Linked DNA regions of Mus musculus. The protein of the gene in region 2 purifies or fractionates together with the protein of the main gene of each other region. This does not show direct contact. Links are inferred from orthologs where the notes say so. Each region holds a gene or a part of one and is shown on either strand. Other genes may lie near its edges.

The links.
Region 1: the proteins of Cd19 (region 2) and Cd81 purify together in Homo sapiens (affinity purification with western blotting, with the first as the bait; 3 studies listed by BioGRID). This does not show direct contact. The link is inferred for Mus musculus from reciprocal best matches to the Homo sapiens genes CD19 and CD81.

What each region holds. Positions count from the first base shown.
Region 1 is NC_000073.6:143,051,010-143,055,554, reverse strand, and holds the start of Cd81 (CD81 antigen), read right to left. Parts: upstream 2,806-4,545; 5' UTR 2,555-2,805; coding exon 2,489-2,554; exon of another isoform or gene 1,869-2,488; intron 1-1,868. UniProt on the Homo sapiens protein: Structural component of specialized membrane microdomains known as tetraspanin-enriched microdomains (TERMs), which act as platforms for receptor clustering and signaling.
Region 2 is NC_000073.6:126,407,660-126,411,885, reverse strand, and holds the end of Cd19 (B-lymphocyte antigen CD19 isoform 1 precursor), read left to right. Parts: intron 1-55; coding exon 56-104; intron 105-356; coding exon 357-445; intron 446-765; coding exon 766-867; intron 868-987; coding exon 988-1,089; intron 1,090-1,177; coding exon 1,178-1,246; intron 1,247-1,344; coding exon 1,345-1,401; intron 1,402-1,492; coding exon 1,493-1,549; intron 1,550-2,215; coding exon 2,216-2,302; intron 2,303-2,422; coding exon 2,423-2,514; 3' UTR 2,515-2,529; intron 2,530-2,695; 3' UTR 2,696-3,438; downstream 3,439-4,226. UniProt on the Homo sapiens protein: Functions as a coreceptor for the B-cell antigen receptor complex (BCR) on B-lymphocytes. Decreases the threshold for activation of downstream signaling pathways and for triggering B-cell responses to antigens.

The DNA.
Region 1 (4,545 bases), about 17 Mb from region 2:
TCAGGTTTGTGTCCTGCCCCATATATCTTGGGAGTCCAGAACTCTGCTGGCCCCAATATAGGTTCTGAACTCAAGCCCAAGGAGGACTGGTGGGAGTGACAGCAGGCAGGTTAGTGTGCCCGGAATGTCCCCTCCCACAGAGAAACCACTTTAATCTTCAAACTGGAAATTTTAAAAAGTGTCCATCGAAACATTTACTGTCAACCAAATCTCCCTTCTTAGAGCTCTTAGCCCCCGCCCCCACCACGGCCCAAAGGACCTCTCAGCCCCCTCCTTAGGCCCTTCTGACATCATTGCTCAGCTTCCTTTGGCCCCACTCCCTTTTGGAGACTGTGTCCAGTGTCCATTTCCTGAGCCTTCTCTGCTCCAAGCCCCTTGCCCCACTCTGGAGTACATTAGCTAGTCTACACACAATCCTAGGAGACAGAGACCCCCAAGAACTCCCACTTTAGAGGGAGGAAGTGAAGACTAAGGGCCAGAGTGGTGGGGTGGGGCTCCCCAAAGGTTCAATTTCATGATATCAGGGAACTATCAGCCACAGTACAAACCTTGCCACACGAGGGACAAAAGGAGTCCCTCTGCCAGGGTGGTGTCCACCAGTTGTAGCCTGGTTCTGCTCCACATCCCTATCCACTGTGGGGCCAACATGAGTAGGGAGGAGAGGTCTGTGGGATTGTGAAAGGCTACAGTTTTCACTGTTCTGCAGTCAGTAGGCAGGTCCCTGGGAGCAGGGAGAGGCTTCAGAACCGTTTCCTGGAGCCTCAATAGAGACCCCAGGGACATGTTGGGACTCCACCCCAGCTGCCTGGGAAACGAGCAGCTTCACCCAGCCTCAGCACTCCAGGGAGTCTGAGGGTCTAGCGCTTGGATCAGGTGGGTGAGCAAAAAAAGAAAAAAAAGAAAGAAAGAAATACCCTACAGGATCCTGACATCCCACATCTGAAGAATAATGGGGGTGGGGTGGGGTGGATAACACACTTCTTGAGGGTGCATTCAATTCCTTGCATGGTTCAGAGTAGGCAAGCACTGTCCAACATGACTACCCAGTCGAGACCCCAAGGCATGCCCGGGCAGAGCAAGTTTAACCCCATCGCCCATGCTGCTCCCTAGAATGTGTTCTCTGGAGTCACCGTGACTGACAATCTTGGTCCCTGCAGCACCGCGTGAGCATACATAGCCCCAGCTGAGTTCAGCCCAGTTCCTGCCCATCCCCAACGTCTTATTCCCCTCCACCCCACCCTGACCCGCCCTGGGATCTTCAGCAGTCCTCGATGGAAAACAGGTGTCCCCTGTCCAACACACTCACTCCAGGGGCCGTTGTACAAGTTTGCCCTCTCAGGAACAACTTTAGAGAAACATTGTCTTGGCATAACCTCATTTCTTCCTGGGAAGGAGGGTGGTGGGAACAGCAGTCTGTGCACTGCAGCAGGGAGGGTGGCACCACTGTCCAGAGGAGTGGCCAGCACTGCTCACTCAAGTGCCCGCAGGCAGGTCTGTTAAGACTCCCCATTCCCAACCCAGTTAGGAAATGGAAAGAAGCCCATACCACCAATGGCTACTCCCCAGCAGTGAAGACAGTCAGGACCCAGGGACACTTGGAGACCCTCTTATACCCATGTCTCCTTTCCAAGATGACCAAATGGGTGTGCACTTCTTTCCAAAGTGGAGAGCCCAGCTTAGATCCTGTATATAGGAAAAGATCCTAAGCTCCTGGTTTGTACAGATCCCAGATCTTTGCAACACCCTGGCCTTCACCAACTCAGAACTGCATACCCTCTTCCTCTCAGGATCTAAGGGTCAGGCCGGGGCTGTAATCTGTGCAGGAGACGACAGGCAAGGAGGAGGGGCAGCTGGGGGAATGGGGGTGGGGGTGGCCAAGAACTGGGGCACCGTGCGCAGCAGCACGCGGCCCGGGCTGCCCTGCCTTCTAGGCCTGGAGCTCGAGCCCCCAGGGTGGCAATACCAAGCTGGAGGGTAAGCAAGGGTGGAGTAATAGTGGGGTTGAGGTCTCCGAGGCAAGTACGGAGCGTGCCCCCACCACTTCGAGGCCGCCTATCCAGGGGCGGTGGCTAGGATGAGCTCATGGGGGCGGGGCGCCAAGATCCCGCCCTTCTCGACCCCCCTCACTGCTCGCGATGCAGGATGGTCCCCAAAACAACATTCAGGAGGGTGCGAGTACCCCCTTCATAGCTGAGGGCTCTTGATTACCTGGCTCTAGCCCGCAGACTCTTGCACCAGTTCCCAGCACTCAGAGGGGACAGGCCAGCGATCCCCTGATTTCCCGGCCCCAGAAGCCCCTCGAGCCGAGGCCCAGAAGCTCAGCCCTCGGCCTCAACCCGCTGGCGAGGGGCGCCAGGACCCCGATCGGCGCACGGAGCCCACAGGTGGCGCCGCAACTTCGCGGTTGCGCTGCGCCTTCTCAGCAGGGCCTAGCGCGCTGCCCAGCCTGGCTACCGTGGGGTGCGCCCTGTCCCCAGTGGCTGCTCACCCAGAAGACGAAATTGAAGACGAAGAGCAGGTATTTGATGCATTTGGTGCAGCCCTCCACCCCCATGGCGGTGCGCGGCCTGCGGAGCTTGGATTGGTCCTGGAGCGGGCGGTATGGGGACGCAGTACCGGGGTCCGGGACTGGCAGATAGCCTGGAGCGCTTGCGGGCCGGAGAACTGCGTTGCGGAGAATGAGACGTAGGGTAGAGAAGGGCTGGAGGCCTAGCCGGAGGCGCGAGAGTCACTATCTCTTTGAAGCAAGGACGCGCTCGCTCGGACCGGGCGCGCGCGCCTAGCTCCTCACTCTTTATAGACCTCTAGGTCCCGCCCCTCCGAGGCCCCGCCCAGAGGACGCTCCACCCCTGGCCCCGCCTTCCGCCCGCGGGGTGCCCGGACCAGGGGTACTTGGGTGGGTGCTGCCACCTCAGTCCCAGAGTAAGCGTTCTGGAACTTGGTGCAGCTGGTTCTTGGGGACTCGGTGCACTGTGCGTGCGCAGGATGAATCTCCAAGTTTCTTAAGGGTTCCCAACCCTCGGGGCAGGCTTCTGGGTCGCGACTAAGAACTGGCCACAAGATACTGCCCCAAAGAAGCCACACTTACTTCCTCCGGTACTCGGACGCCTTGGACTTTCCCGGAGGGTACCCTAGTGGAGGTGTCTCGACAGTAAAGAGTCTTAAAAGTTAACATGTTTTGTGTATATTGATCTCCCAGGCAGCAACTCCGTGGGCCTGAAGGTCTAGAATGGAATTCTTTGTAGCCTTGCTAATCCCCTATCTCACAGATAGAGTTCCTGGCTGCAGTTCTGGAGGCTGCATTTGGGAAGGTCAATAGTGTACCCAATGTCTTTAGCCAGTCTTTAGGCTCGAGAACCCTCAGGGGCACCTTCAAATATTCATGCCATCCTGGCTGTGCCTTCCAAGAGTCCATCCTCCATCCTCTAGCTGGTTCCCTGAAAGCTGGGATTAATAAGGAAGTGAGGAAAGATTCAGAGGGCAGAGGTGCTTCCTTCCCGGGTGAGGAATGGCTGCTGTCATCATAGATGATATTCCTGTGAAATCTTGGCATTCCCTTCCCCAAACTGAAGGGCAATGGGGCTGCTTCATTAGACTCACTGGGAACCATGGAAGGACCAGTTCCCAAGACTCAGCCTTTTCCAGGTCACTCCATGTTCTTAAATCTTTGAGCAGTTAAGGACATTGTTCCCTATGGAGATCACACCTGGCACCCCTCTGGCTACAGGACACTGGAAATATGTTTAAAAAGGAATAGATATACATATATATTTAAACAAAGGAAAGGAATATCTATAATATATATGTGGAGAGAGAGACAGACAGACAGAGACAGACAGACAGACAGAGAATGAGAATCTCACAATGTAGCCCTGGTTCCTGGAACAGAGCTCTGTCTACTTTTGCTTCCTAAGTGCTGAGACTGTAGGTTTAGGACACCATGCCCAGTTGTCTAAAGGGCGAAAATTTGAACTATGTATAATTTACATGTAAACCTGATGATTGGCCAGTAGCTGCCTGGGTGGAGCTATCTCTACTCGGCTAGGCTAGTAGGCTTCTTGAGAGTTAATTTGTGCATTTGTTTTGGCTTCAGGCTGGTATAGCTGCTACAGTGAAGGATTGTGTCCACATTTATAGTTCTTGGAGGCTGAAGTGGTGTCACAACAAAAGTAACACTAGTCACCAAATGCTGGAGTAATATCACACTAAAAGTCATTTGAGTCTCCAGGAGGGAGTCTCTTAGGATTCTTTTTATTTAAAAGTGGGCAAGAATAGTTCTTGCACGTGCAGAGATGGGGACCTGCTTTCTCTTCAGATCTCCACTGTCTCCAGTGATGGGGATACCTCATGCCTAAAGTGGGGTTACACATTGAACGTCATGCAGGGCCAGCTGTTTTGTTTATGTACTGTGTGATACATCTGGGTTTAGTGAATGCCATTGTGTTCCTGGAACTGTTCCAAGGGCTATGGACAGCCTAGAAACCAAGGCTGCTTCTTTGGGGCCCTTAGGTTCTGGTCACATACATGCTATGGAGAGAGTTTCCA
Region 2 (4,226 bases):
ATTCACCTCCTGCCTGCCAACCCCTCTCCTGATCCATCTCTTTAAATCCCACCAGCCTTTATCCTGAGAAGGAAAAGGAAGCGAATGACTGACCCCGCCAGGAGGTAAAGTAGCAAATGCCCGCCCTTCCGCTATAAGCTTTACACTGTCCTCTGTCACGTGGGGTGGGCCTTGGTGCCATCTCTCTTGGTTGAAATACTGCCCAAGTCTGGAAGCCACCTTCAAAATCACCTCCCTTGGCATGGTCCCAAACTCTTTGGGTAGGCATCCCTACACACTTAACTCCCAGAATAGACTGCAGCTGGGCATCCCTACATGGTTGAGCCTTAAGGTACACCAACCCTTTCTCCCTCCAGATTCTTCAAAGTGACGCCTCCCTCGGGAAACGGGACCCAGAACCAGTACGGGAATGTGCTCTCCCTTCCTACATCTACCTCTGGCCAGGGTGAGGGACCACTGCCTTGAAAGGCTTTCAAGTCGCACCCTTCTCTCCGGCACTAGCCAGCTATGCCTTGTCCTCATTTCTCCAATCTTCTCAGAGCAGAACCTTCCCCAGAGCAGAGCCCAGGACCAAATCTCAACAGATCAGCCAAGTCTAGCCACTGGACCTTGGCCAGAGCCAGCCTTGTCCTAGAACTTGAGGCCAAGGCTCAGATTTTGATCCCTTCCCCATGGCTCAAGGCCGGTTATGCAGGCACACAGAGGCTTTCTGAAGCATTGTCTCCTTTCCCTCTGATGGGCATCTTAAATCTCTCTTTTCACCAGCCCATGCTCAGCGTTGGGCTGCTGGCCTAGGGAGTGTCCCTGGGTCCTATGGAAATCCACGCATTCAAGTCCAGGATACTGGAGCTCAGAGCCATGAAACAGGTCAGATTTAAGGGTTGTTCCTCACCTTGAGAGTGTCGGAGCAGCCTGTGGTGGGATTAGTGGACTGTGGGTGGAGGAAGAGAGATACCGCTCAGCTCTCCACACTGGTCCCAAATTCAGGACTGGAAGAAGAAGGGGAGGCCTATGAAGAGCCAGACAGCGAGGAGGGCTCTGAATTCTATGAGAACGACTCCAACCTTGGGCAGGACCAGGTTTCCCAGGGTGAGTCCCCATTCTCCCTGGTCCTGACACTTCAACAGTAGGCTGATGGCTGACAACCTTTGCTAAAGATGCCCTCATTCTCTAACAGATGGGAGTGGCTATGAGAACCCCGAGGATGAGCCCATGGGTCCAGAGGAAGAAGACTCCTTCTCCAATGGTAATGTGGTGTCCTTGTAGGGTTGGTGGCTAGGAAAACGTGCTTGGTGCTGCAGGGCTCCTACTGCCTGAGCAACTCCTGCGCTCTCTCTTCCACAGCTGAGTCTTATGAAAATGCAGATGAGGAGCTGGCCCAACCAGTTGGCAGGATGATGGGTGTGTATTTGAGTGAGCGAGGGCTGTCACTCTTGGAAGAAGCTGGAGACCAGGAAAAAAAGTGATATCTTTGTCTCTTTTCTTGTTCCAGACTTCCTGAGCCCCCATGGGTCTGCGTGGGACCCCAGCCGGGAAGCATCCTCGCTTGGTGAGAGTGCTTAGGGCATCCTTCTAGGGTCAATTTCAGATGATATAAACTCAGCTCTGATCTCCAAGTCCAAGCCTAACAGTGGTCTTAGACCTTATTCCCAACTCCACCTCTATCCCGTTTCCCCGTGTTTCTGCCATTTCTAACCTTGAAGACCAATCTTGACCCAAAATGAACCTGACATAACTGTTCATGTCTAGAATTCCAACTTGTGGGAAAGTTAAGGCAGAAAGATGGTCATGGGCTTAAGGCTAGTCTGGGGTACTTTGTGAATTCCAGGCTAGCCTAGGCTGAAGCTTTGTAACAAAAAATGTAACGAAACACACTCAGCCAACCGACTGAAGCATTGACCTCAATACCTTCTCTCTTAGAGTTTGGCCTTCACCTCACCCCAGTTTAAAGTGGACTTCAACCTTGACCCCAACTGTCTGTATCATTTCCTGTGAGCTTGACTTTGACTCCTCCCAATTCTGTTCTTGACCCTTCCTTTGGCCTTGGCCATCTTAGAACCAAGTAGGATCTTGATGCTGACAAATCAGTCCTAGTTTGACATTAGGAACTTCGACTTCTTGCCTAGCTCCTCTCCCGTGGGTAGGCAGGACTTCCCTTCCCCCAAGCCCCAGCAGAATTTCTGGGTCTCTAATCTTCCATCCCATGCCTAAACAGGGTCCCAGTCCTATGAAGATATGAGAGGGATCCTCTATGCAGCTCCTCAGCTCCACTCAATTCAGTCCGGTCCCAGTCATGAAGAAGGTGGGTGTTTCTGCACTGTTTCTCGTTGTCCTCTGGACACCCCCCTCCCCCTCCCTCCCCCACTCTACCCCAGCATCCTTTTCATCCAATTTACACTTTCCTTTTCCTGGTCTTATCCAGATGCAGACTCTTATGAAAACATGGATAAGTCTGACGACCTAGAACCAGCATGGGAAGGAGAGGGCCACATGGGGACTTGGGGAACCACGTGACTCCCAAGTGACTAGGTGAGCTGGACGCTGCCCCTGGGAGAGGGGAGGAAGAGAGGGATAAATGAGGATGGTAATGCAGCCCTGGCTGCTGGGGAGAGAAAGGGGAAGGGTTTTCTGGGTCCAGTGGATAGGGCCTAGACGTCATCTCATACTTTGCTTGTTTGTTTGTTTTTTTATGTAGCCTGGACTTCGTTAGGTCCCAAGAACCACATCTGATTCTGAAATCTGGAGATCCCAGATGGTGTCAGTCAGTGAAATGACCTTGATCAGGATGTGTGCATGCTGACACACACACACTCATATGCATGTTCAAGCAAAGCTTCCTTTTGACCCTTTGCTTTCCCCAAATAAACCCAATTAGCCACTCAAATTCTCTGAAGCCGGCCCTTGTGTGGGATAGGAAGGGAAGATGGGGTTGAATCCAGCCCTGAGTCACCCAGAGGAAGGAGAACTGAGGTCTGAGTACATCCTGGCTCTAGCCTTCCCATGGCCTGGCATTTAGCCACCTAACATCCAGTGATGCAAATATGTCCAGCCGCTACATTCCATGGTGTCCCACAAGGGAGAGACAGTGATGGGACTAGCAGACTGTTTGGTTGTAACCCATCCCTGCTCACCCTGCACAAACTGGGAAACACTGTCTGCCTCTCTTTTAATCCTGCCTGCTCCAGGCTAACAGGCCAGTACCCTCACCTTCGAGTTTCTGGCAACACTACCTGAGTGCCTGCTCAGGGGGTTCAGCTTCTGACCATATGTAGACACCACCCCAGCTCTGAGTTTACACATCATCACCCCTTGCCTAAGACCTGAAACCCCCCTTTACCTTCGCCCAGGTGTGCCATTTCCCTGCTCCCTCCTGCATCCTTGGGACCTGTGAACCTACTCAAGTGCTGCTCTCAATAAATCTGCCTTTATACTTTCTAATTCGGCTTGAATTGGCTTGTTTCTTTGGATGCTGAGAACCTGGGAGGAATTGAGCCTAAAGCCCCTTGTGCTGGGCCCCTGGCCTTCTGGGAACTGCTCCCTTCCCCTCTTCTCATTCGTTTTCCAAGCCCCACATGCCACTTCCCTGAATTCTTGTAGGATGATTTTTCTCAAATTCTTTCCTGGTCGTGCCCATCTCCCCGATGCCTTTACTGGACTGTGATATCCTTAGCCGCTTTGGGACCACAGAAAGGACTCCATAATCCCTGGATCCCATAATCTCTCCTGACTCCCATCTTCGTCTTCCTCTGGTTGCCTCACAGGTCACCACCTGAGACTGTGCTGTCCTCACCCTACCAGATCTTGTCAACCCCCAAGTATGGGATATTTCCACCCCGGTGGTTGCTACTTACCCCGAGACGGTCCTGGTCCACCTCAAGGACCCCTCATCCTTCCATCCTAGCTTCCCATTTCTGAAACCCATCGCTGCAGTCTCAAGCCCATCACTAGCTGCCTCCTGTCTCAGGAACTTCTAATGCAGCACTCCCATTCTCCCAGTGAATAAGCCTAACACCTAGTACAGAATCTTTACCTCGTTACTGAAGTAGTAATCCCAACCCACCCATGGTTACCAACTCTACACCCTTGTCTTAGCTAGGGTTTTACTGACACCATGACCAAGGCAACTCTTATAAGGACAACATTTAATTGGGCCTGGCTTACAAGGTTCAGCAGCTGGGACACACTAGTCTTAGGCTCTGCATAGATCCCCAAGAACAAGTATGAAT